Callithrix jacchus: one gene and its partners. The main gene of each other region encodes a partner of the protein of the gene in region 4 in a complex. Links are inferred from orthologs where the notes say so. Each region holds a gene or a part of one and is shown on either strand. Other genes may lie near its edges.

Region 1 (3,500 bases), on a different chromosome or scaffold from region 4:
AGAATAAGCAAAACTACCCTAGGTAGTTTTCCGCTTCTTGGCAGATGGCCGTTCAAATACATCTCGTACCCCAGCTGCCTTTTGTTTGAAGAACTTTGTGTTCTGGGCACTCTCTTGGCCCCAAGCTGAGTCGAAGGAAGTGGTATCTTGATCCACAAGGTGAGTATATTTGGTGCGACCTGAGCGTCCAAAGTTCTTGACCTGAGGGAAGATGTAGGATGGTTACACCATCAAACCATACCTCATCTGTCAATACATTACTTTTTCATGTTATTAAGGTTCCCCATACCTGCATGACTTTAGGAAGAATGGTCTTGTTGAAATGATCCTCCAGGGTAGGAGCGCTGAAATCTCTCTTGTATACTTCTTCATCCTCATCCTGTAGAGAAGAATCTTATCAGTCTAGTGGCTTTATTTCCTATATATTCAAACCACAAACATACTTTACAATGAAGGATACAAAGAAAGCAGAGGGTATTGAGTCTTTCTTCAAGAGCTTACATCTAGTTGAAGAGATTCTTTTTCCTTTGTTGTATTATCTTTAATTTTTTTTCCCTGAGACGGGGGGGGGTCTCATTCTGATGTCCAGGCTGGAGTGCAGTGGTGTGATCACTGCTCACTGCAGCCTTGACCGCCCAGGATCAGGTGATGCTCTTACTTCAGCCTCCTGAGTAGCTGGGACTACAGGTGCACGCAACTATGCCTGATTTTCTCCTTGAATATAGACATGACTCAAAGGTTGGCTTATTCTCTCTGCACTCAATGTGTTCATTTACTCATGTGACTTCAGCTCTGCACAGGCCTCTCCAATCTCCAATCCTGGATTTTCTACTGCCTTTTATATAAGCTGGATATTTTATTGGGACTTTAAACTCACATCTAAAGTGAAGGGCAGGAATTTAGTTGCGGTGGGGATATTTAGAATTTGCTAAACAGTTGAAAAAGCTCGTCTAGTTTTTGATACAAACTGCTTTAACATGACAAAATCATAAACCATACAGGGTTAGCAGATTGGTATTTTGACTTTAGACTTTACGTGAAGAACAAAGATGGCACTCCACCTAATGGTTAGATAATAAACCATTCTTTTGGTTAGTTATGCTTAGGTACTTTGTCAGTTCAGAATGAAGTGAACCTTTTACCACCCAAATGTGAATTAATGTAAAGCTATTTGCAGTTTGGTTTTCACATACCCAAAACTTCTTATTCAGGTATGAAATAATAACAACTATGTGATTTGGAGGACCTAATTAGTCCACTATCTATATAGATCACTTCTCCATTTCATTTCCTCAGTTTATCTAAGGCTGGGGATGATGGCGCATGCCTGTAATCCTAGTACTTTGGGAGGTTGTGGTGGGAGGATTGCTTGAGGCCCAAAGGTCAAGATCAGCCTGGGCAACATATAGTGAGACCTGGTCTCTGCAAAAAATTGAAAAACTAGCAATTAGCAAAAAGAAAAATTAGCCAGGCATGGTGGTGCATGCCTATAGTCTCAGCTACTCTGGAGGCTAAAGCAGGTGCATAGTTTGAGCCCAGGAGGTCAAGGTTGCAGTGAACTATAATCATATCACTGTATCCCAGCCTGGGTGACAGCAAGACTTTGTCTCGTAAAAAAAAAAATATATGTCTATTACATCATTTCCTCTTTTTGAGAGCTGGGGCCAAAAGAGAGTTGATTACACTTCTATAATCCAATTACTGATGATGCTTTTCTCTGAGTTTATATTCTTCAGAGGGAAACAGCAAATGAGAAAGCTGACCACTGGCAAGTGAAAATAACATTCTTGAGGAGAAAAAATAATTCAGTATCTGAGTTATTCCTACTGCCCAATTTTTGGACTCTCTTCTCACTTCTTACCATGAAGAAGGCACCCCTGTGATAATACTTCTGTAAGAACTTATATTTGCCCTTAACAGCTTTGTTGGTAATAACTTTGCCATTTGCCCGAAGCTCAGCTCTTCTCTCTTCCTCAGTCAGGTTTCGCATGCGTTCAATTTCTGCTTTCTCCTTCTCAAGCCTGTCCAGGGAGCAAAACAATTTATTGGTACTGTTACAGCTTCAGAAAGACCAAATTATCTGAAAATAACAGTCCCATGTCATTCCAAATATTATTCACCCTCTTTAATTCTAGTCGCTGCCTATTAGGAATCAAGATCAGGAGCTCAATAAACAAAAGGGTAAGTTGGTCTTCATTATTTTTGCCAGACTAGGTATTGTCCACTTCCAAAAGTTGATTCTAGCCATTTTGAGGTTCAGACATACTATTATTACTGCTTCATTTTGCAACATTACAAATTCTCTTTCCCTAAAAAGTATTCTTAGCTTTAAAAAAAATCAGTGAATTTAAAATAACTGTCCAGGACTTCGGTGATATTCCTTTATGTAAGTGTATCAGAATCATATAGGTGCTTGCATGTCATAAACCAAAGATTACTGTTATTAATTAGATTGCAGTAACTTTTTAGCCACTATTAGGGAGAGAGGGGGTGATATCCCCTTTTTCCAAAAAAAAAAAAAAAAAAAAAAAGCATATATACACATAATTTTGTGTACAGTTTTTTTTTTTGTTTTGTTTTTTTTTTTGAGATGCAGTTTTGTTCTGTCACTGAGGCTGGAGTGCAGTGGCACAATCTTGGCTCACTACAACCTCCACCTCCCAGGTCCAAGCGATTCTCCTGCCTCAGCCTCCTTAGTAGCTGGGATTACAGGTGTATGCTACTATGCCTGGCTAATTTTCTTATTTTTAGTAAAGATGGGGTTTCACCATGTTGGTCAGGATGGTCTCAAACTCCTGACCCTTGGCCTCCCAAAGTGTTGGGATTACAGATATGAGCCACCATGCCCAGCCTTGTGTACAATTTAAAAGGGCACTTGGACTCCTACTCGTTCAAGTCCAGGATAAGAACCTTAGAAACTACAGACTGAGGGCTGGGCATGATGGTCATGCCTGTAATCCCAGCACTTTGGGAGGCCAAGGCGGGTGGATTACCTGAGGTGAGGAGTTCGAGGCCTGCCTGGCCAAAACGGTGAAACCCAGTCTCTACTAAAAATTAAAAAATTAGCCAGGCGTGGTGGCACATGCCTGTAGTCCCAGCTACTCTGGAAGCTGAAGCAGAATTACTTGACTCCCAGGGGGTGGAGGTTGTAGTAAGCCGAGATCACACCACTGTATTCCAGACTGAGTGAGAGTAAGACGGTCTCAAAAACAAAACTACGGGATGAGGATGGAGTTTTATCTATTATGTGTAGCTTATATGGCTCATATTCAGGCAAATTTTGGTTGTTTTTTCAGACAGTCTCACTCCAACTCAGGCTGGAGTGCAGTGGTATGATATCAGTTCACTGTTACCTTTGACTCCTGGGTTCAAGTGATTCTCCTGCCTCAGCCCCTGAGTATCTGGGACTAACAGGCACACACAACCAAGATGGCTAATTTTCACATTATAGTATAGATGGTGTTTTGTCATGTTGGCCAGGCTGCTCTCTAACTCCTAGC
Region 2 (3,947 bases), on a different chromosome or scaffold from region 4:
TAGGCTGTATTGCTGAGGTGGGTGGATCACCTGAGGTCAGGAGTTCGAGACCAGCCTGGCCGACATGGTGAAGTTCCATCTCTACTAAACATAGAAAACTCAGCTTGGCACAGCAGTGCACACCTGTAATTCCAGCTACTCTGGAGGCTGAGGCAGGAGAATCTTGAACCTGGGAGGCGGAGGTTGCAGTGAACCAAGAGGGTGCCATTACACTCCAGCCTGGGCAACAAGAGTGAAACTCTGTCTCAAAAAAAAAGAGAAGAGCAGAGGCGTGGGGTTGTGGGAAGGGCCCCAGGCAGGGACAGTGCAGCGTGACAGGAAGAGAACATCCCTGTCCCACCCCTGTCCTGGTCCAAACCCCAGGGCCCCTCCCCGGCCCCTGGCCCTCCTCATCCCTTGGTGTGTAGTGAGCTCTGAGGTCGGGGCTACCAGTCCCTGGGCCCGTGTCCCTGGTGCCTGTGCGTGGAGGGCCCCAGCACCATGTCCATCCTGCCCGCAGGGCCCGGCGAGCCGCCAAGGAGGCCAAGGAGGCCCCCGCCCAGCCTGCACCTGAGAAGGTCAAGGTTGAGGTGAAGAAGTTTGTGAAGATCGGCCGCCCCGGCTACAAGGGTGAGTCTGCCGCCTCGTGAATGGGTTTGGGCTCCGGCACGGAAGCCACAGCCCTGAGACCCCGTCCCCGAGCTGCTGTTTGATGGCCTTGGCGGCCATCCTTCACCCGCCTGCAGCGTCTGGCGCTGTGTCTGGGAGCTGTCAGGCTGGACGCGATAAGCACCCATCTCACCCAGTGGCCCCTTCCCCAGCAGAGCCCCAGTCTGTGCCCTCCTTGCCTGGCCGCCTCTGTGCCTGGGGCTCCTGGTATGTGAGTGGCGGCCCCTCTGTGCCTCGCAGTCCAGTGTTGTAGAAGCTTCTGGGAATTCTTGCCAAGCAAGAGTGGAAGTGGGGGTGTGGCGAGCCTGACGCCTCTCTCCCGTTAACCTTGAAACTGGGTTCCACTCGTCTTAGCCTCGGAAGGAAGAGGACGGGGAGCAGCGGCTGTTAGGGGCGGCTCCGTCTGGGACCCTCAGCAGTGGAAATGGTTGCCAGTTCAGAAAGCTGCGATGGAAGATAGAGACGTGTGTCCGCGGGGGGGCGGGAAGGCGGGAAGGCGGGGACGCCCCGTGTGCCCGGCCTCCCGACAGCAGCGTGTAGGGCAGAGGCCCGGGGCAGGTGCGCTGGATGGCGAGGGCAGGTGCAGCTTGAGCTGCAGGCCCCGGCCGGGAGGCCCTGACAGGTCCTGGGCTTGGGCTCAGGGCAGTGGGGAGGCAGGGGGCTTGTGAGTGTGCATGCCGGACACTGCGTGGAGAGAGCCAGGTGGCCTGGCAGGGACTCAGCCCCCACCCCAGCAGCCGTTCCTGGGGTCCAGGCGGCTGAGCGCTCACCCCACACACGTGTGGGCCCTGTTCAGGCAGCCCCACTTGAGTCCCAGAGCAGGGTGCCGAAGGGCCCTTCCTGCCCGGTGACCCTGACTGGCTGGTGGTGTCCCAGCACCCGAGGGTGAAGAGCTCTGAGGATGGGGACAAAGGAGCACCCACCTCGGTCCCTGCCTGAGTGACTCGCAGGTAGCTCAGCCCTGGCGCACCTGTGCCTTCACTATAGCAGCGTCCCAGAGACCAAGAGCACAGGCAGAGTCCAGCGGCTGCCTGGAGGCCCAGGGCCTCCCCCGGGGTCCTGCCCTCTCTCAGTGGGTGGCACTAGCCCGTCCCAGGTCCCTGAGCTTCAGGGAGGACAAGCGGCTGGGACCTGAGAGCCTTCTGTGTTGCAGTGACCAAGCAGAGGGACTCGGAGATGGGCCAGCAGAGCCTCCTCTTCCAGGTGAGCTCAGGGGTCCGGGCGTGGGGGGCGGCCATAGGCGTCCAACAGGCGGCGCTGCCACCCGGCCGTGTCTCTGCAGATTGACTACCCTGAGATCGCCGAGGGCATCATGCCACGCCACCGCTTCATGTCCGCCTACGAGCAGCGGATCGAGCCCCCAGACCGGCGCTGGCAGTACCTGCTGATGGCCGCCGAGCCCTACGAGACCATTGCCTTCAAGGTAGCGTGGCTGCGGATGCCAGGCTGTTGGGGGGGCTTCCCTCAGCCTGTGCCCACACCTGGCCAGGGCGGCCATCAGGAAACTGTAGACAGTGACTGCGCAGGGTGGGCTGGCATTGAGGCCAGCTCCGTTTCACTCCAGAGTGAACCCTGTGTCAGGAGGGTTGTGTCAGGCCGGGGCCTTCCCATGGGCTCCCAGGGTGTGGTCCGGGCCGGGGAGGCTGGGCCTCGGGATGGGTTGAGCTCCCTGCCTGATGGCGGCCCTGAGGTCGCAGGGATCAGGAAGGAGCCCTCTGTCCCCTGCCCTCCCAGGTGCCGAGCAGAGAGATCGACAAGGCGGAGGGCAAGTTCTGGACGCACTGGAACCGGGAGACCAAGCAGGTTAGTGGCTGGCCTGGTCACCTTGACTCCCGCCCACTGGGGCCCTGGCAGCCCAGTCCCCAGCCGCACCTGCTGAGCCTTCTTCGTCTCTAGTTCTTTCTCCAGTTCCACTTTAAGATGGAGAAGCCCCCGGCTCCGCCCAGCCTCCCTGCCGGGCCTCCTGGGGTGAAGCGGCCTCCACCCCCGCTGATGAACGGTCTGCCCCCTCGGCCACCGCTGCCCGAGTCTTTGCCACCACCCCCACCAGGAGGCCTGCCTCTGCCACCCATGCCCCCCACAGGGCCTGCGCCCTCAGGGCCCCCAGGACCACCTCAACTGCCCCCGCCAGCTCCAGGGGTCCACCCCCCGGCCCCAGTGGTGCACCCCCCCACATCTGGGGTCCATCCCCCAGCTCCTGGGGTCCATCCCCCAGCTCCTGGCGTCCATCCCCCAGCCCCTGTGGTGCACCCACCAACCTCTGGGGTCCATCCCCCAGGCCCTGTGGTCCACCCTCCAGCCCCCGGGGTTCACCCACCTGCCCCCGGGGTTCACCCACCAGCCCCCGGAGTCCACCCACCAGCCCCGGGGGTCCACCCTCCCCCAGCAGCAGTTCACCCCCAGGCCCCAGGGGTGCACCCAGCAGCCCCGGCCGTTCACCCTCAGGCCCCGGGGGTGCACCCACCAGCCCCGGGGGTGCACCCACCAGCCCCAGGGATGCACCCTCAGGCCCCAGGGGTCCACCCCCAACCTCCCGGGGTCCATCCATCAGCTCCTGGGGTCCACCCTCAGCCTCCTGGAGTTCACCCCTCAAATCCTGGGGTACACCCCCCAACTCCCATGCCCCCAATGCTGAGGCCCCCACTCCCCTCTGAAGGCCCAGGGAACATACCTCCCCCTCCCCCAGCCAACTGAGAAGCTGCTCCCTTCCCAGCAAGCCCGGCCCAGGTGCTCCTGCCTTTCCCAGGGAGGGAAGGCTGCTCTTTGTAACTGTCCCCACTCATTAAACCGCCTCCCCCAGCCCTGAGTGCCCGGATTCTGCAGCGCCGCCCTCCGTGTGAATGCCGTGTGGGAGTGCCAGGCAGGGCACCATCCCAAGTTTGGGCGACTGGGGAGGGCTTGGGGCCCACCAGGAGACACCCATGGGAGCCTGAGAGGCAGCTGTGCCCTGGAGGTGGCCTGGTGGAGGACAGACCCCACCAGTCGGCTAGGAGTATGTCTGGGGTCATGTCCTGGGGAAGGAAGAGCAGCCTCCAGGATACCCTTGTGGTCTCCAGATAGCCCAGTAGGGGTGGGGAGGGTGAACCGGACAGGGAGCCCCTGCCCTTGGGGTCTCCAGATAGCCCACTAGGGGTGGGGAGGGTGAACAGGGGACAGGGAGCCCCTGCTGACTTGGGACCCTCCTCGACGCCCAGCACCCGGGACATCTGGTTCCCCACCACCACCACTGTAGTCTGGCTGCACTCCTGTGCCTTCTGGGGACGGGCCCTCAAGGACAGCCTGTTGACACATTAGGCCCA
Region 3 (3,534 bases), on a different chromosome or scaffold from region 4:
CTAAGGCAGAGGGATTGCTTGAGCCCAGGAGTTGAAGACCAGCCTAGCCAACATGGCGAAACTTCATCTGTACAAATACAAAAATTAGCTGGGTGGCACATGCCTGTGGTCCCAGCTACTTGGGAGGCTGAGATGAGAGGATCACCTGAGCCTGAGAGGTAAGGCCACAGTGAGCTCTGATCGCACCTGTACACTCCAACCTTGGTGACAGAGACTCGGTCTCAAAAAAAAAACAAAAAAAAATGTGGAGTAAGCACCCTTGCTCCTACTCCTCCTTACCATTCTTTTCATGATACTCTGACAGCTTTTCTGACATTTTTATACTCCAGGTGGAGTACAGTGGCCCGATCTCAACTCACTGCAACCTCTGCTTCCCGGGTTCAAGCAATCCTCCTGCCTCAGCCTCCAAAGTAGCTGGGACTACAGGCCTGTGCCACACTTGGCTAATGACATCTCTTCTTAAAGAGAAAAGGTACTGCTGTCAAGGCAAACACCACAACTACACAAGGAGTTTAGTTTTATTTTCTCTGTGCATCTGCAAAATACTCAGAACCAACATAAAAAAGTAATACCTCCTGTGGAAAGTTACATTACAAAGGGGAATGGGGTGGGGTGCTCAAAGAGGTTAGTGCCTCAGCCCCAAGGAGCTACAGCATCTCTGATTGGTCCAAGGAATCGAAAAGATATTGGGAAGATGTAACAGGAGGAAGGAAAATGTGAATTTACTGAGGGAGAGGGCCCCGAAGCGGGCCTCGAGGGGGAACTGGTGGCCGGGGAGTGGGTCTGGGTGGAGGGAGAGGCCCCCGCTGGTAGCCATAGGGTGGGGGTCGTGGAGGGCCAGTGTATCCATGGGGGGGCATCAGTGGAGGAGGTCCACGCATACCATGTGGAGGCATAGGACCTGGGTGACCTGCAAGAAGTGAAAGAAAAGTTAGTAAGGGCCTGGGACAGGGGTGTACCTACAGGAAGTTGTTAGAACATGTTAGGTGCAGGTGAAGGAGGTGGCTAGAGCCGACTTACCCATGGGAGATCCGAATGGAGGCCCTCGGGGGGGCATGCCCATTGGAGGAGGTCCAGGATGAGGCATTCCAGGTGGTGGTCGGGGCGGTGGCTGCCCCCCAGAGCCTGGGGGTCCAGCATGGGGATGTCCCAAGCCATGAGGGCCATGGTGTGCCAGCTGCATCTGAGTCATCCCTATGAAAATAAAACAGACACAAAAAGAAAAGAGACAAAGATAGAGAAGAGGGCAAAGAAAATGGAGAAAGGAAGAGAACAAAATTAGAAAGAAAGTGACATCAGAAAGAGGACTATATAGAAAACAGGATCCAGAAAATAAGGCTGGCTGGGCAGTGGCTCATGCCAATAATCCCAGCACTTTGGGAGGCCTAGGTGAGAACATCACTTGAGCCCAGGAGTTTGAGGTCAGCCTGAGCAACATTGTAACACCCCGTATCTGTCAAAAAAATTTTTTTTAATTAGCGAGGCATGGTGGTGAGTGCCTATAGTCCCAGCTACTCATGAGGATGAGGTGGGAGGATCACTTGGGCCTCGGAGGCCAAGGCTACAGTGAGCCATGACTATGCCACTGCACTCCAGCCTGGTTGACAGAGTGAGACCCTGTCACCAAAAAAAATAACAACAACAACAAAAAAAAACAGCCAGGTGCAGTGGCTCATGCCTGTAATCCCAGCACTTTGGGAGGCCAAGGCAGGCAGATCACAAGGTCACGAGTTCAAGACCAGCCTGGCCAACATGGTGAAATCCCGTCTCTACTACAAATACAAAAATTAGCTAGGCATGGTGGTGCATGCCTGTAATCCCAGCTGCTCAGGAAGCTGAGGCAGGAGAACTGCTTGAACCAGGACCAGGGAGGCAAAGGTTGCAGTGAGCCGAGATCAGGCCATTGCACTCCAGCCTGGGCTACAGAGTGAGACTCCGTCTCAAAAAAAAAAAAAAGGAAGGAAGGAGGGAAGGAGGGAGGGAGGGAAGGAAGGGTAGTAAAAAGTGCGCCCTATCCTTGACCCCATTCCAACAGCACAAACCAATCAATCACTCAAGACCTTACCGTCTTTGCTTGCTTCTTCCGTGACTTAGGCACTGTAATGGTAATGCTGAAGTACATAACAAGCAGAGTGATAACTCTGTTGATAGGATTTGAGAAAGTAGCAGAGGACATACTGTCTAAGCAAAGATCTGATTCTAAAGCACGAATATTTCAGGAGGATAAGATCGTGGAAAGAGAGCACCCAAGCAGAAAGCCTACCATGCACAAATTGGGCCAGGCGCGGTGGCCCAAGCCTGGAATCCCAGCACTTTGGGAGGCCGAGGTGAGTGGATCACGAGGTCAAGAGATCAAGACCATCCTGGTCAACATGGTGAAACCCCACCTCTACTAAAAATACAAAAAAAATAAAAAATAAAAAAAAAAATAACTGGGCATGGTGGCACGCGCCTGTAATCCCAGCTACTCAGGGGCTGAGGCAGAAGAATTGCCTGAACCCAGGAGGCGGAGGTTGCGGTGAGCCGAGATTGCACCATTGCACTCCAGCCTGGGTAACAAGAGCGAAACTCCGTCTCAAAAAAAAAAAAAAAAAAAAAAAAAAAAAATCACAGGTGTCTCCAACAGCACAGTATGTTCCAGGATATGCCAGTAACTCAGTATCAGGAGCAAAATGCAGTTATGGAAATGAGGGGCAGGGGCCAAACCATAAAGAGCTGTGAATGCTATGGTAATGAGTTTGGGTTTTACTCTGTAGGTAAAAGGGAGCAAAAGAGGAATTCTGAGCATGCATGTGCACATCTGTGTTTTACAAAACTTACTCTGTGAAAGTAGATCAAAGTTAGTGAAAACTGGAGTCAAAGTGGCCGGATATTACTACAGTAAATTAAGTGTAAAATGAAGGAATGAGACTCAACTGGGGCACTGGCCATGGGGAGAGATGCCACTGACATAAATAAGACTCAGTATTAAGAGTGGGGTAAAGGCCGGGCACGGTGGCTCAAGCCTGTAATCCCAGCACTTTGGGAGGCCGAGGCGGGTGGATCACGAGGTCAAGAGATCGAGACCATCCTGGTCAACATGGTGAAACCCCGTCTCTACTACAAATACAAAAAATTAGCTGGGCATGGTGGCGTGTGCCTGTAATCCCAGCTACTCAGGAGGCTGAGGCAGGAGAATTGCCTAAACCCAGGAATTGGAGGTTGCAGTGAGCCGAGATCGCGCCATTGCACTCCAGCCTGGGTAGCGAAACTCCGTCTCAAAAAAAAAAGAGTGAGGTAATACTCCCCACAGTCACAGCAAACATAGCTCTCAGATTCATGAATTAAGCACCTGGAAAAAACGAATACTAGAGGAAGAATAGGTTTGAGGGAGAGGGATAGAAAGGTGGCACTATCTATTAAGCAGCAGCATTAAGGATCTGGAATGTTAACAGCTATGAACTAGAGACACAGATCTAGGAGGCATAAAACTACACATATATGCAGAAAAGAAAAGCACAAAAATCTACGCCCAAGTCCACAGAAGTCTATTGT
Region 4 (3,500 bases):
GTGACTGCTCAGAGAGGACTGCCCTCTAGAGGCCTGATCAGATTACACAAAATTTTCTTCAAGAATTTCTCTGAGAAGAGACATGAAGGTGAATCATCACCTCAGGCTGATGAGAGCAACTATATTCACTGTCTAATAACATAATATCATTTCATTGCAGTCTTTTGGCCAAAGACAAAGGAATTGAAAACACCAATTTCCAACTAGATGGGAAGTAGAAAGGTGTGTTAAGATTTTTCCCATTGTTTTAAAAGAAAATGCAACTCTTTTTAAAAAGTAATGCAACATTAAACCTAGAGTAAATCCAAATATGTCAAACCCACATAGGTAATTAACTGGCACACCACCAAGATCACAGCATTGTGACCCTAAACCAAGAATGCACAGCGGGTAGAGTAAATCACTCACTAATCATAACGGCTCGCCCTTTGGGATCCACAGCTAAGAACTGGCCAGGAACAATACGACGGCAGCCACTCTTGCCAAAGGTTTCTTGATGAATCTTCTCAAACATATTCTTAGATGGCTGGTATTCCAAGATAACAATTCGACCAGAGTCACTGCCAACTACAATGTAGTCTTTGGTGCCACCTGTCAGCCTAAAGGCCATGAGTGACCGGATAACACCAAATACTTCCACAGTGAGCAGGGTATGTACTTTGCCAGTGTTGGGGTCTGGGCGAAGCAGCTCCAAGATCTTCCCACGGGAAACAACAATTTCTTGTTGTTTGGTTCCTAGATCACCAAAAAATAAAGATTATAAACAACTAGAACCCAGCCTGGCCACCATGGTGAACCCCATCTCTACCAAAAATACAAAAATTAGCCAGACATGGTGGCGCGCACCTGTAATCTCAGCTACTCGGGAGGCTAAGGCAGGACAATCGCTTGAACCCGGGAGGAGGAGGTTGCAGTGAGCCAAGATAGTGCCATTACAATCCAGCCTGGGCAACAGAGCAAGACTCCATCTCAAAAAAAAAAAAAAATTAGGTGTGTGACATATGCCTCTAGTCCCAGCTACTTGGGAGGCTACTGGGAGGAGAGTTGGAACCCAGGAGTTAGAGAACATAGTGAGCTATAATCCTGCCATTGCACTCCATCCTAGGCAACACATCAAGACCTCGTCTCTTTAAAAACAAATAAATAAATAAACGACCAAGCACAGTGGCTCACGCCTCTAATCCCAGTACTTTGGGAGGCCAAGGTGGGCAGATTATGAGGTCAGGAGTTCAAGACCAGCCTGGCCAACATGGTGAAACCCTGCCTCTACTAAAAATACAAAAAATTAACTGGGCGTGGTGGTGCACACCTGTAATCCCAGCTACACAGGAGGCTGAGGCAGGAGAATCAACTGAACCCTGGAGGCAGTGGTTGCAGTGAGACGAGATCGTGCCATTGCACTCCAGCCTGGGTGACAGAGCAAGACACCGTCTCAAGGAAAAAAAAAATGTACTTTCAAAAATTCTATCCAAACTCCAGCTGAGATTCATTACATTATATAATGAAGTCAGTCACAAATCTCCAAATTCCCATATGCATATTTCCTTAATCAAACACAGCAAATAACTAAATTACCCAAATGAAGCCTCAAACCCACAAAGAGCCATAATGAGGATCAGAGAAAATAGTAACATGAAATATGAATGCTGTGTGGTCAATTAGGCTGCTGCTCACTACCACACATTCAGTTTTCAGATTTATACCTCAAAATTATGTAATACTCTACACCATCATGAACCTCCTGCATTACTTGGATTAACTCACAAATGTTAAATCTGTAAATGGCAAGAAAAAGTTATTTTATAAACATTAGTACCTTTTTTTGGGTAACTATGTATTTCTTAACCCAGTATTTGAAATTTCACACAATTCAAACCTGACTTTAATCCATCTTTACAAAAATATCCCCGACATGGACATAAGCAAATGACCTGTTTCTATGCAGGCAGCACTCACTACCTAAATTGCACTTTCTCCATTCTCATTCAAAAGTTTTAGCTCTTCAAGCACCAAACCAAGGTCCAACTTTCCCTTTACTTAAATCACTCTATGATAACTTAAATCACTCTCTGATAACCTGACAAACACCTTCAGACATTCTTTTTACCCAACCTGATGTCAAATTCAAGATCAAGGATCAGGTCTTACACATCTCAGTATGTCTCACAGCAATAAGCACACGACTTGGCACTAAGTAGGCAGCCAAGAAATGTGTGCCCAGACAAGAATCATTACACAATGTGTTTAGGAAATGTCCCCGAAATAGGTAATAGATAATGCATCAGAACTTAACACCTTATCTCATAATTTGAATTGTTTACATTTACCAACAACTGTTTTGTCATAAATGGAAAAATTTCCTCCACAAAAGATTAAGCAAGATATGTACTAATCCACTTAAAATTTCGAAAGATGTTAACAAAAGAACTTACCAGAAAAGTTGCCATGAATGGCAAAGCTGATGCCAGTGGCTCGCTGCAAGGTTAAGTTGTACAGGAACATGGCTGCAGCAAATCTGAGCCAGCAAACCTAATCCACGCCTCCAGGTCTTGCACACCAAGAGTACCGAATGCAAGCAAACTGAGGAAACAGAAAACAGAAAAATAGCTGGGAGACTGTTACTTCAACAGACATATTTGTATGGGAAATTCTGGTTGAAGACAGCAGAACTAGTGGAGTAAGAGCAAGAAACAATAGGCCAGGCGAGGTGGCTCATCGCAGCTCCTCAGAGGGCTAAGGCAGGAGAATCACTTGAACCTGGGAGGTGGAGGTTGCAGTGAGCTGAAATCGTACCACTGCTCCCACTTGTAATCCCAGCACTTTGGGAGGCTGAGGCAGGTGGATCACAGGGTCAGGAGTTCAAGACCAGCCTGGCCAACATGGTAAAACCCCATCTCTACTAAAAATACAAAAATAAGCTGGGCATAGTGGTGGGTGCCTGTAATCCCAGGTAGTACTCGCGAGGTTGAGGCAGGAGAATCGCTTGAACATGGACTCAGGAGGCAGAGGTTGTAGTGAGCAGAGATCATGCCACTGCACTCCAGCCTGGACTACAGAGTGAGACTCCAACTCAAAAAAAAAAAAAAAAATTAAATGCAACCTCTAAATGCCAAGTCACAATGCCATATATTTTGCCTTTAGCCTCGTAAGAATCCTATTAAGTTGCAGTATTATATCCATTTTATAGATAAGAAAACACAAACTCAGAGATTAAATCACCTGCCCAAGGTCACTTAACAAATGAAAATGGTGTGAGAACTGGAATCTGTAACATTAATGCAGTATTAGGCAATTTGTCACAGAAACTAAGCAGATCTATGTTTACTTGTATTCCAACAGGCTATACATTAACTTAGTCAGAATTCAAAGGCATAGCAAAAAGCTCCCTCCAACCCATTCCCTAGCCATCCAGTTCTCCTGGGGGAATCTACTTCACTAAGTCATAATGTATCCTTCCAAATATTTTTTATATCTATAAATAAGAACATATACTGTAGAGA
Region 5 (3,500 bases), on a different chromosome or scaffold from region 4:
GTATGTGACTGAAGAACCAGAAATTTATGAGCCCAACTTTATCTTCTTTAAGAGGATCTTTGAAGCTTTTAAGGTACAAAAGAGCACACTTGAAAGGGGCAGTGCCAAACAGGGAAGGGGCTCAGAGGTGGGTGAGAGGCAGGGAACAGGCATCTTTTCAGTGCTGGTTTTAGGAACTGGGAAGGGACCCAGATGGCAGGGGTTTCACTTTGTCTGCCTCCTCAGCTCACTGATGACGTGAAGAAGGAGAAGGAGAAGGAGCCAGAGAAACTTGACAAACTGGAGAACTCTGCAGCCCCCAAGAAGAAGGGCTTTGAGGAGGAGCACAAGGACAGTGATGACGACAGCAGTGATGACGAGCAGGTCAGGTCTGGCTGTCCTGGCGGAAAGCAGGGACTCTGGGCACAGGTGGCTGAGAGGCATCCAGAGAGGGACCATGGTGAACTCTTGAAGAGCTTCGGTGGCTTAAGGTTGGGGTGGGTTGGGCAATTTCATTCACATCTGAGTCCTGCTCGAAAGAGGTGATTGTTCCGTTCTAGGAAAAGAAGCCAGAAGCCCCCAAGCTGTCCAAGAAGAAGTTGCGCCGAATGAACCGCTTCACTGTGGCTGAACTTAAGCAGGTGAAACTGAGAGGATCCTGCGGGCCCTGGAGCCCAGCTGGGAGACAACCTGGGAAGCCAGGGAGGTGACAACTTTGAAGGAAGTGTTGTGGGTGATTTGGGTATAGGTCCTTTGAGGAAGAGGAATGGGAAGAAGAGCTTCAAACCTGAGAAGTTGGGGCTTTCAACACACGCATTCCTGTGTGTTTTCCAGCTGGTGGCTCGGCCCGATGTCGTGGAGATGCACGATGTGACAGCGCAGGACCCTAAGCTCTTGGTCCACCTCAAGGCTACTCGGAACTCCGTGCCTGTGCCACGCCACTGGTGTTTTAAGCGCAAGTACCTGCAGGGCAAACGGGGCATTGAGAAGCCTCCCTTCGAGCTGCCAGACTTCATCAAACGCACAGGCATCCAGGAGATGCGAGAGGCCCTGCAGGAGAAGGTGAGGTCCTGGCAGGGCTCACACTTGCCCTCGGGTGTCCCCATCATTCACAGCAGAGTGCTGCAAAATGGGAACCTGGTTTGAAACCCACCTACCACCTACTTGTTACTTGTCTAATTATCCCTTTGTTTTCCTCCTCTGCTTTTCCTCTCCTCTGCCTTCACTTTGCCAGCTCACCTGGTGACTCGTTTCCCAGATGCACTTTGTGGCTACAGATTGATGGTGGTTGTGTAACTTCTTACATTTTTTTTTTAAGAAGGAGTCTTGCTCTGTCACCCAGGCTGGAGTATAGTGGTGCAATCTCCGCTCACTGCAACCTCCACCTCCTGGGTTCAAGCGATTCTCCTGCCTCAGCCTCCCAAGTAGCTGGGACTGCAGGTGTGTGCCACCATGCTTGGCTAATTTTTTTGTATTTTTAGTAGAGATATGGTTTCACCATGTTAGGATGGTCTGGATCTCCTGACCTCGTGATCCACCCGCCTCAGCCTCCCAAAGTGCTGGATTTACAGGTGTGAACCACTGTGCCCAGCTGTAACTTCTTAATTTTAAAGCTTTTAATTAAATGCTTTGGACTCAGGAGGTACAAAAGAGCATGGGGAAGTCTCTGCCTTTCAGAGAACTGATGAGGTTCAGCTTTGGTGAGATGGTTTAATAACTAGTTATTGGTATACACAGCTGAGGCTGATACGGTGTAGTCTATTTTGTTGAGTATGGATAATGTTTTGAAGGGTTTGAGCAGGAACGATCTTGGTGACTTTCAGGGTGACATAATTGAGGCTTCTCTTGATTTCTTTTGGAGCTGGAAGCTGGATTCTCTACATGAATTTGGTGAGTACTTGTTAAAGCTTGTCTTTTGCCATTCTCCACAGGAAGAACAGAAGACCATGAAGTCAAAAATGCGAGAGAAAGTTCGGCCTAAAATGGGCAAGATTGACATTGACTACCAGAAACTACATGATGCCTTCTTCAAGTGGCAGACCAAGCCAAAGCTGACCATCCATGGGGACCTGTACTATGAGGTTTGGGAGGGGGCTGGGAGAGGCCAGTTTGGGCCTTGGGGTTGAGACTGCCTAGGGCTTTTTTTTTTTAAATGGAGTCTCACCCTGTTATTCAGGCTGGAGTGTAGTGGAATGATCTGGGCTCACTGTAACCTCTGCCTCCTGGGCTCAAGCAGTTCTCCCATCTCAGCCCCTCAAGTAGCCAGGACCACAGGCACACCATGCCTGGCCAACTTTTTTAATTTTTGGTAGAGACAGAGTTTCGCTATGTTGTCCAGGTTGGTCTAGAACTCCTGAGCTCAAGCGATCTGCCCACCTCAGCCTCCCAAAATAAACCACTGCACCTGACCCAGGAGGGCTTTTGAAGTGACTACAGTAGTTCCTCAGCCTTAGAATTGCCCATTGACTACCTTCAGATGAGATGGACTTTAAAAATGAGGTCCTTTTTGAAGGAGAGATGCAGACCTGGTGACTTCTTTGTCGGATAGACTTTTCGTATCCTGTCTTTGAAATGATAATAGTTGGTGGTTGTTGGTTTAGGGATGAAGGAGCCAAGGGGAAGATGCTTTTAGGAAACTTAACACTGAGGGTGGTAGACAAGTTGGTATTTTCTGATCCTTGAAATCGTAGTCACCATGATGTCATGGAATTTATGAGGTAGAAGAATTAAATGCAGATTATCCCTTTGAGTGCCCTCATTTTACAGATGAGAAGGCAGGTCCTAACGTTGGCCATGTTCTCACAGTGGGTTATTGACAGCACTGGGAATCTGGGCTTTTCCCCTCCGCCCTGGTTTATATTCCTTCCCCCACTTTGGCCAGGGAAAGAAGTGATGAGAATCAGAGTGGGAGCCAGCTAGCCCTCAGTGGGATTTTCTATCTGATGTGGGTTAGGACTTCTCGCCTTTGTTTTCACATCCTCTTGCGGTTGTGCTCCCACTGAGTGTCTGGGTCTACAATGCAGTATGCTCTGCTTTTCCCTCAGGGGAAGGAGTTTGAGACACGACTGAAGGAGAAGAAGCCAGGAGATCTGTCTGATGAGCTAAGGATTTCCTTGGGGATGCCAGTAGGACCAGTGAGTGTCAGTGGGCTGGGGAAGCAGTGAAGAGGGTGGGGATTGGGGCAGAAGGCAGAGTCAGGGATAGGGTTTGGCAGATGGTATCCTGTTCTCTTTTTCATGCAGAATGCCCACAAGGTCCCTCCCCCATGGCTGATTGCCATGCAGCGATATGGACCACCCCCGTCGTATCCCAACCTGAAAATCCCTGGGCTGAACTCGCCCATCCCTGAGGTGAGCATTGTCATTTTGTTTGTTCAGTTCTGCTGTCTCTGCTTTTGAACTGGAAGGTAATTTTTTTGTTTTCCTTCTCTGACTCCACTACGTGTCTCTTTTTTATTGACACATCATATTTGTCACATACCATGTGTTTCTAGAAAAACAAAGAATGGTTTTTGTTTTTTA
Region 6 (3,500 bases), on a different chromosome or scaffold from region 4:
TAAGAATTAGAGGTTTTTCAAGGGTCTCATTGGAATATTTGTATAACCAGACAGCAGTTGCCCTGGAGAACATTTATTCTGGGGATTTTTTCAGATATTGGGGCCATTTTGCCCCTGCCTTTTATTTTATTTTATTATTTATTTGAGACAAGAGTCTCGCTCTGTTGCCCAGGCTGGAGTGCAGTAGTGCAGTCTTGGCTCACTACAACCTACACTTCCCGGGTTCAAGTGATTCTCATGCCTCAACCTCTCTAGTAGCAGGGATTACAGACGTGCAGCATCACGCTCAGCTAATTTTTGTATTTTTAGTAGAGATGGGGTTTCACCATGTTGTCCAGGCTGGTCTTGAACTCCTGACCTGAAGTGATCTGTCCGCCTCCACCTCCCAAAGTGCTGAGATTATAGGTGTGAGCCACTGCACCCGGCCCCCTGCCCATTATTTTTATTTCAGAAAGTTACCTGACTAGAACTGTGACTGAAATAGTTTGTTGTTGTAAAATCCAGTAATTATTATTATTAGATACTCATCAAAGTATTGTATGAACAACTCATTTTTTTCTCTCTCCAACTCTGAAGCAAAATTTACAGTTTGTTGTTACTGCTTCATTGCCTCAGGCAGCTGGATTGGAGACCTGAGAGGAGAGCTGGGCCATCCCGGATGCGCCATGAGCGAGTTGTCATCATCAAGAATATGTTTCATCCTATGGATTTTGAGGTAGGAAGTGGTGTGCCCACTGATAGAAATGCTGATAGGCTTTCTTTCAAGGGAGCCTGGAGCTTGCCTCACCCCATCTTTGTCATGTCACCTCCTGCGTGTTTGTGCAGTGAGTAGTAAAGGAAGATGGAGCCAAGAGGCTACTTCAGTTTTTTTTTTAATTTCTCTTCCCTTTGTTTAGCCCAGTGTTGTTTTAAAGTATATCCCAGATAAGAGTGTTTAATAACCGTACTGCACCCCAGCTACTTGGTATGGGAAATCACTGAAAAATACCATCATTAAAAGATTTATGGGAACTGCTTGTGAATTTTGAGTGCAGTTCAACAAGTGTGGACTGATTTTGGTGGGGAGTACCAGCTTCACAATTGTAAATGCAGACTTCAGTTTAATATTAAAAGTTATAATGCTTAATGTCCCTGTAAAATTCCAATAACAGCAAGTAAAAGTGAATGATTAAAATAGTATTTTAATCATTTTCTTAAAATGATTTTAAAAAGTGAATGGAACTGCCCTTCCTCCCCTCAAAAAACTGAATGAAGGAAGAACAAAGAACTACTTAAGGAGTTCTAAGGAATATTGTCATCAAAGTACCTTTATTTTTTTATTTTTATTTTTATTTTTTTTGAGACGGAGTTTCGCTCTTGTTACCCAGGCTGGAGTGCAATGGAGCGATCTCGGCTCACCGCAACCTCCGCCTCCTGGGTTCAGACAATTCTCCTGCCTCAGCCTCCTGAGTAGCTGGGATTACAGGCACGCGCCACCATGGCCCAGCTAATTTTTTGTATTTTTAGTAGAGATGGGGTTTCACGAAGTTGACCAGGACGGTGTCGATCTCTTGACCTCGTGGTCCACCCTCCTCGGCCTCCCAAAGTGCTGGGATTACAGGCTTGAGCCACCTTTATTTCAGAAAGTTTTCTGACTGTAACTGTGACTGAAATGCAGTTTGTTGTAAAATTCAATAAGTATCATTAATAAATAACAAAGTATTGTATGAACAACTTTTTTTTCTCTCTCCCACAAGTCTGAAGCAAAATGTACAGTTTGTTGTTACATTCTGCCTCTATTCTCTTCTCTGTCTACTGGTGTGGAGCAACTTTATTGTATAGTGGAGAAACAACTATTCTCTCCCTGGTTCTGAAAGTAGTGATAGCAAGTTATACAGAAAGCAGGTTAGGCTGGGCGCGGTGGCTCATGCCTCTAAACCCAGCTACTTGGGAGGCTGAGGTGTGAGGATCACTTGAGTCCAGGAGGCAGAGGTTGCAATGAGCTGAGATCATGCCACTGCACTCCACTCAAGCCTGGGCGACAGAGCGAGACTCTGTCTCAAAAAAGAAAAACTCAGATACAAAGGTACATTTTCTCACTGTATGCCAGCACTGTTCAATAGAAATATAACATGAGCCACATGTGTAATTTACATTTTTGTGTAGCCACAATAAAAATATAACATGAAATGGGAAATTATTTTTAATAATGAATTTTATTTAACCCAGAACATCCTAACTATAATTTCAACATGTAATGTAGATAAAAGTGTTAGTGAGCTATGTTACATTGCTTTTTGTTTCATTTGGTACCAAGTCTTCACAATATGGTGTACATTTCACGTATATAGGACGCCTCAGTTTGGACTAGCCACATGCAGTTAGTGGCCACCATCTTGGACAGCACAAGTTTAGATTGCCAAGGAATGAGAAACATGGTTTATTTCTTCCAAAAAAAATTAATGAGAGTTGACTGCAGAAGGTTCCAATGCCTGAGTCTGATTTTAGTCTTAGATTGCTTGGAAAGTTTTGTCTTTTTAAAATGACCACATGTGTAGCTAGGTAGATTAAAAAATCTCCCTAAAGGAGATCACTCCCTTTAAGCTTCAGGGTACTATATAGCAATGAAGATCTGTTAGGTTTTCAGGCTGCTATAAATGGAAACAAGGGTTTGAGAAGACTTTGGCTAAGATTTGATAATATAAGAAAACCACTGAGGCCAGGCTCAGTGGCTCACGCCTATAATCCCAGCACTTTGGGAGGCCGAGGCGGGTGAATCACCTGAGGTTAGGAGTTTGAGACCAGCCTGGCCAACATGGTGAAACCTGTCTCTACTAAAACACAAAAATTAGCTGGGTGGCGTGCGCCTGTAATCCTAGCTACTTGGGAGGCTGAGGCAGAAGAATCTGTTAAACCTGGGAGGCAGAGTCTGCAGTGAGCCAAGATTGCGCCATTGCACTCCAGCTTGGGCAACTGAGCAAGACCCCGTCTTCAAAAACAGAAAGAAAAGAAAAGCACTAAGATACTGGTATAGAAATAAAGGTAATGCCTACCCCCACCATGGAATCACACTTAAAAGTTGTTAAACATGTTGAAACAGTTTTTGTTTTGTTTTGTTTTTTGAGATGGAGTCTTGCTATGTCGCCCAGGCTGCAGTGCAGTGGCACAATCTCAGCTCACCAAAACCTCCGTCTCCCAGGTTCGAATGATTCTCCTGCCTCACCCTCCTGAGTAGCTGGGATTAGAGTCACCTGCCACCTTGCCTAGCTAATTTTTGAATTTTTGGTAGAGACGGGTTTCACCATGTTGGTGAGGCTGGTCTCAAACTCCTGACCTCGTAATCTGCCTGCCTCGGCCCCCAAAGTACTGGGATTACAGGCGTGAGCCACCACACCTGGCCTTTTTTGTTTTTAATATAGTCTGATTTTCTTGGTGAATAAAAGATACTAGAAACAGTTTATCAAATTCTTAAAAAGATTTTTTTGAATGTTGGCTATGTACAAAAGGCTGTGCTGTTTTCT
Region 7 (3,500 bases), on a different chromosome or scaffold from region 4:
AGTCCTCCTACCTCAGCCTCCTGAGTCAGTGGGATTATAGGTGCAAGCCATTGTGCCCAGCTTGATAAATATTATTATCACTGAGTGTGGAAGCTGAGGAAGAGAGAGGAGCTCCAGCTTTCTAGCGTGGATGACTGGTTAGCTACTCCTGAGGAAAGAGGTTAGAGACGAAAGTGCCCAGGAGTCAGCTGGACCCAAAGCTGTTCGGTACACAGGAGTGTTCTGGGACATTAATTTGGGCCAGATGGTTTAGCCTATAGGCACTAGGGGGAAATGGAGGACACTGGAAACAGAAGAGAACCAAGAACAGAATTGGGCGGGGCTGGGGGTAGTGGGAATCACCAACTTTATAGAGCAGGAGGTGAAACGGGGGCTAGGGAGGAAACTTGAATGGAATGATGAGAAAGAAGGGAGGAACAGAAGAACGGGGCCTGGGAGTTGAGAGTGTTGTGAAGGAGTGGTCACCATTCATGCCCAGATAGTGGCGGTGGATGGCTGTGAGCAGTTGTTTTTGACTTTGTCAAGAGCACTTAAAATGAGTGGGGACCAAATGTCAGGTGAGGAAGTGAGACTAGCAAGACTGAAGAGAACTCAGGATGTTTAGCTGCCAGAGGAAGGGGTGGGAGAGGGCAGTGGCAGAAAGGAACATGAAGTTAGAGGAGAAACTTCATTTTTCTAAGATAAGAGACGACCCTTTGTTCGCTAAGGGAAAGAAGCTGCTGGAGAAAATACTGGAACTTATGGGATAGTTAATGCTGAGCATTTCAGTGGAGGGTCACAAAACCTTTGTGCATTGAATGGTGGTTAAGGTGTGGAACAGAGGCAGAGAGAGAGGGCATTCAGGGCAGAAGAAGCTGTCAGCAAATTATTTTCCATTTCTTTATTCAGCAAACAGTCATTAAAAATTCCATGCCAAGCCCAGCACTGGGTGCAGGGTTACAGACAAGGCCTGGATTCTGCAATGGTTTCTCAGGATGTAGTCTGAGTCCCTGCATCTGAATCACCTGGGCATTTGGTAAAAATGCAGATTCCTGGTCTCACTGAGACAGTTCAGCTAGAGAAGAGCCAGGGAAGCTACTCCTTACCCTGGGTCCCCAGGAGCATCCCTTGCAGGTGCAGTGAACTTAACAGCTTTTCTGAAGCAGAGGGTCCTAACCAGAGGGAAGTCTGAGTGAAAGTCTACCCTGACTGATGTCCTAGAGGAGTTTCACAGTGGAGAACCTGTGCCGAACCAGGGACTTGAAAACCTTCTTTCTTTTCCTGTTTTCATAGCCCATGGAAGAGGAAGCGTCTTCAAAGGAGGATTCTGCACCTTCTAAACCAGTTGTGGGGATTATTTACCCTCCTCCAGAGGTCAGAAATATTGTTGACAAGACTGCCAGCTTTGTGGCCAGGTAATGGAGCTACTTGGGTGGGTCAGAGATGGGTTTCAGCATGAAGAGGTTTCAGTGCTGAATCAGCACAAGGGTTTTTAAAGACTTGGGCCTTTTAGTTCATAAAAAAACCACAACATGGGAGTGGATTGGGCAGGACTGGTGTCCCTGACACAGCACAGCGATGGCCAGAGTGAGAGTCACACTTAGCCCCTGCTAAGTGTCACCAGGAGCCTCTGCTTCCAAAACTGGCCTGAGGAAATGTCTGGAGAGCTACTTCGTCACAGATGGTGTGCGTCTGTGCCTGAGCTGCTGGCCTGAGGAAGATAAAAAGGAGAATGTGTGCAAGGCCACATTCCAAGAATGACCCATCTGCAGAATGGAACAAAATGCCATCTCAGAGTTGTTTATTGTGAGACAGAAGCGAGGTCATGGGACCGCATGCCAGTGCTAGCTGTCTTCTCAGATGGAATGGGAATTGCTCCGAGTTCCTCCTGTCTCTCCCCACTGTACTTATACTCACATCCTTAGATGGAATTTTTTTAATGGCCCCTCGACTCCAAAGGTCAGTACATCCTCTAGGGTATTTAAGGTATTCCTTTGGCGGCCCTCAGGTCATGTCCAGCCTACAGATGTTTTGCTTGTCCTCACAGTAATTTTTTCAATATTCAAATTTGTTGCCACTATTTAAAAATGAGGAGGCCAGGTGCTGTGGCTCTTCCCTTAATCTTAGCACTTTGGGAGGCCAAGGTGGGAAGATCACTTGAGCCCCAGCAGTTTAAGACCAGCCTGGGCAACATAGCGAGATCCTGTCTACAAAAAATAAGAAGTTGTTTGGCTGTGGTGGCATGGGCCACCACATGGTCCTAGCTACTCAGAACGCTGAGGCAAGAGGATCAGTTGAGCCCAAAAAGTTGAGGCTGTAGTGAGCCATGGACTCCAGCCTGGGCAGCAGTGAAACCCTATTTCAAAAAAAACAAAACAAGTAAAAATGAGATTTCACAATCAATATGGATTTCTGGACAGCTCCTTCGTGTGTGGAAGCAGGTTCAGGCAGAGTATGTGCTCTCCAGGGACCCAACGTCACTCCCCTGAGGCAGTGCCTCAGTCAGTATAATCATTTAACGGTGTTCCTTCCTTTCCCAATCTGATGAAATTAAACATAAAGATCAATAAAGATTACTTTGGTTAGACCTTCTTGCCTTTTTTTTTTTTTTTTTTTTTTTTTTTTTGAGACGGAGTCTTGCTCTGTCACCAGGCTGGAGTGCAGTGGCGTGATCTCAGCTCACTGCAGTCTCCACCTCCTGGGTTTAAGCGATTCTCCTGCCTCAGCCTCCCAAGTAGCTGAGATTACAGGCACGCACCACCACACCTGGTTAATTTTTGTATTTTTAGTAGATACGGGGTTTTACCATGTTGGCCCGGATGGTCTCAATCCCTTGACCTTGTGATCCGCCTGCCTGGGCCTCCCAGAGTGCTGGGATTACAGGCATGAGCCACTGCACCCAGCCTACTTTGCTTAGACTTTCGCTGTGGCAGATCTGCAGATTCATCTCATTACATTTCAGCGGCTTTGATTAACCTGGGTATTAGGTTGAAAGCTGCTCCGTGCTTGATTGAACATTATGATGATGATGGTGATTGGGTCATGTCAGATTTAAATGGTAAAGTGTGTGTTTAAGATAAATGTTTAATGGCTCTTAGCAATGTCATGCTTCCCCTTTTCCCCTGATATTTTAAAAGCAGAATATACAGAAAAGAGGTGTTGGGTTAAAAATCACCATATTCTCATTACCAGAATAGTTTCTGCCAGCTGTTTTCACTTTTTTCTGTTTCCTTCTGTCCTTGACATCCTTTTTTAGATCCTTGTAATATTAGCAAAGATACTTTCACATTTCACTCTGTGTTTCTGCCACCACACTCAGCTAATTTATTTTTTTATTTTTTGTAAAGATGGGGTCTTTCTGTGTTGCTCAGGTTGGTCTTTAACTCCTGGCCTCAAGTGATCTTCATGCCTTGGCCACCCAAATTGCTGCCATTACAGGCATGACCACTGCACCTGTCCTGTTCCCAGTATTTCATTTTGGCAAATGAAGCTGTGGGGAAATCTCTGAATATTTTCTTTCC

Evidence for each region.
Region 1: SF3B3 (region 4) and MFAP1 share a complex: the UniProt entries of both Homo sapiens proteins name them as parts of the spliceosome B complex. The link is inferred for Callithrix jacchus from reciprocal best matches to the Homo sapiens genes SF3B3 and MFAP1.
Region 2: SF3B3 (region 4) and SF3A2 share a complex: the UniProt entries of both Homo sapiens proteins name them as parts of the 17S U2 SnRNP complex. The link is inferred for Callithrix jacchus from reciprocal best matches to the Homo sapiens genes SF3B3 and SF3A2.
Region 3: SF3B3 (region 4) and SF3B4 share a complex: the UniProt entries of both Homo sapiens proteins name them as parts of the SF3B subcomplex of the 17S U2 SnRNP complex. The link is inferred for Callithrix jacchus from reciprocal best matches to the Homo sapiens genes SF3B3 and SF3B4.
Region 5: SF3B3 (region 4) and SF3B2 share a complex: the UniProt entries of both Homo sapiens proteins name them as parts of the SF3B subcomplex of the 17S U2 SnRNP complex. The link is inferred for Callithrix jacchus from reciprocal best matches to the Homo sapiens genes SF3B3 and SF3B2.
Region 6: SF3B3 (region 4) and HTATSF1 share a complex: the UniProt entries of both Homo sapiens proteins name them as parts of the 17S U2 SnRNP complex. The link is inferred for Callithrix jacchus from reciprocal best matches to the Homo sapiens genes SF3B3 and HTATSF1.
Region 7: SF3B3 (region 4) and SF3A1 share a complex: the UniProt entries of both Homo sapiens proteins name them as parts of the 17S U2 SnRNP complex. The link is inferred for Callithrix jacchus from reciprocal best matches to the Homo sapiens genes SF3B3 and SF3A1.

The regions. Positions count from the first base shown.
Region 1 is NC_133509.1:31,470,290-31,473,789, forward strand, and holds part of MFAP1 (microfibrillar-associated protein 1), read right to left. Parts: intron 2,022-3,500; coding exon 1,862-2,021; intron 380-1,861; coding exon 290-379; intron 202-289; coding exon 19-201; 3' UTR 1-18. UniProt on the Homo sapiens protein: Involved in pre-mRNA splicing as a component of the spliceosome.
Region 2 is NC_133523.1:2,127,978-2,131,924, forward strand, and holds the end of SF3A2 (splicing factor 3A subunit 2), read left to right. Parts: intron 1-499; coding exon 500-609; intron 610-1,801; coding exon 1,802-1,851; intron 1,852-1,930; coding exon 1,931-2,071; intron 2,072-2,382; coding exon 2,383-2,451; intron 2,452-2,544; coding exon 2,545-3,342; 3' UTR 3,343-3,447; downstream 3,448-3,947. UniProt on the Homo sapiens protein: Component of the 17S U2 SnRNP complex of the spliceosome, a large ribonucleoprotein complex that removes introns from transcribed pre-mRNAs.
Region 3 is NC_133519.1:9,855,995-9,859,528, forward strand, and holds the end of SF3B4 (splicing factor 3B subunit 4), read right to left. Parts: intron 1,195-3,534; coding exon 1,021-1,194; intron 911-1,020; coding exon 723-910; 3' UTR 501-722; downstream 1-500. UniProt on the Homo sapiens protein: Component of the 17S U2 SnRNP complex of the spliceosome, a large ribonucleoprotein complex that removes introns from transcribed pre-mRNAs.
Region 4 is NC_133521.1:31,393,470-31,396,969, forward strand, and holds part of SF3B3 (splicing factor 3B subunit 3), read right to left. Parts: intron 2,581-3,500; 5' UTR 2,503-2,580; coding exon 2,433-2,502; intron 736-2,432; coding exon 409-735; intron 110-408; exon of another isoform or gene 30-109; intron 1-29. UniProt on the Homo sapiens protein: Component of the 17S U2 SnRNP complex of the spliceosome, a large ribonucleoprotein complex that removes introns from transcribed pre-mRNAs.
Region 5 is NC_133511.1:123,134,727-123,138,226, forward strand, and holds part of SF3B2 (splicing factor 3B subunit 2), read left to right. Parts: coding exon 1-73; intron 74-225; coding exon 226-363; intron 364-539; coding exon 540-620; intron 621-813; coding exon 814-1,041; intron 1,042-1,910; coding exon 1,911-2,060; intron 2,061-3,023; coding exon 3,024-3,113; intron 3,114-3,221; coding exon 3,222-3,329; intron 3,330-3,500. UniProt on the Homo sapiens protein: Component of the 17S U2 SnRNP complex of the spliceosome, a large ribonucleoprotein complex that removes introns from transcribed pre-mRNAs.
Region 6 is NC_133524.1:133,302,477-133,305,976, forward strand, and holds part of HTATSF1 (17S U2 SnRNP complex component HTATSF1), read left to right. Parts: intron 1-615; coding exon 616-715; intron 716-3,500. UniProt on the Homo sapiens protein: Component of the 17S U2 SnRNP complex of the spliceosome, a large ribonucleoprotein complex that removes introns from transcribed pre-mRNAs.
Region 7 is NC_133502.1:200,951,707-200,955,206, reverse strand, and holds part of SF3A1 (splicing factor 3A subunit 1), read left to right. Parts: intron 1-1,272; coding exon 1,273-1,394; intron 1,395-3,500. UniProt on the Homo sapiens protein: Component of the 17S U2 SnRNP complex of the spliceosome, a large ribonucleoprotein complex that removes introns from transcribed pre-mRNAs.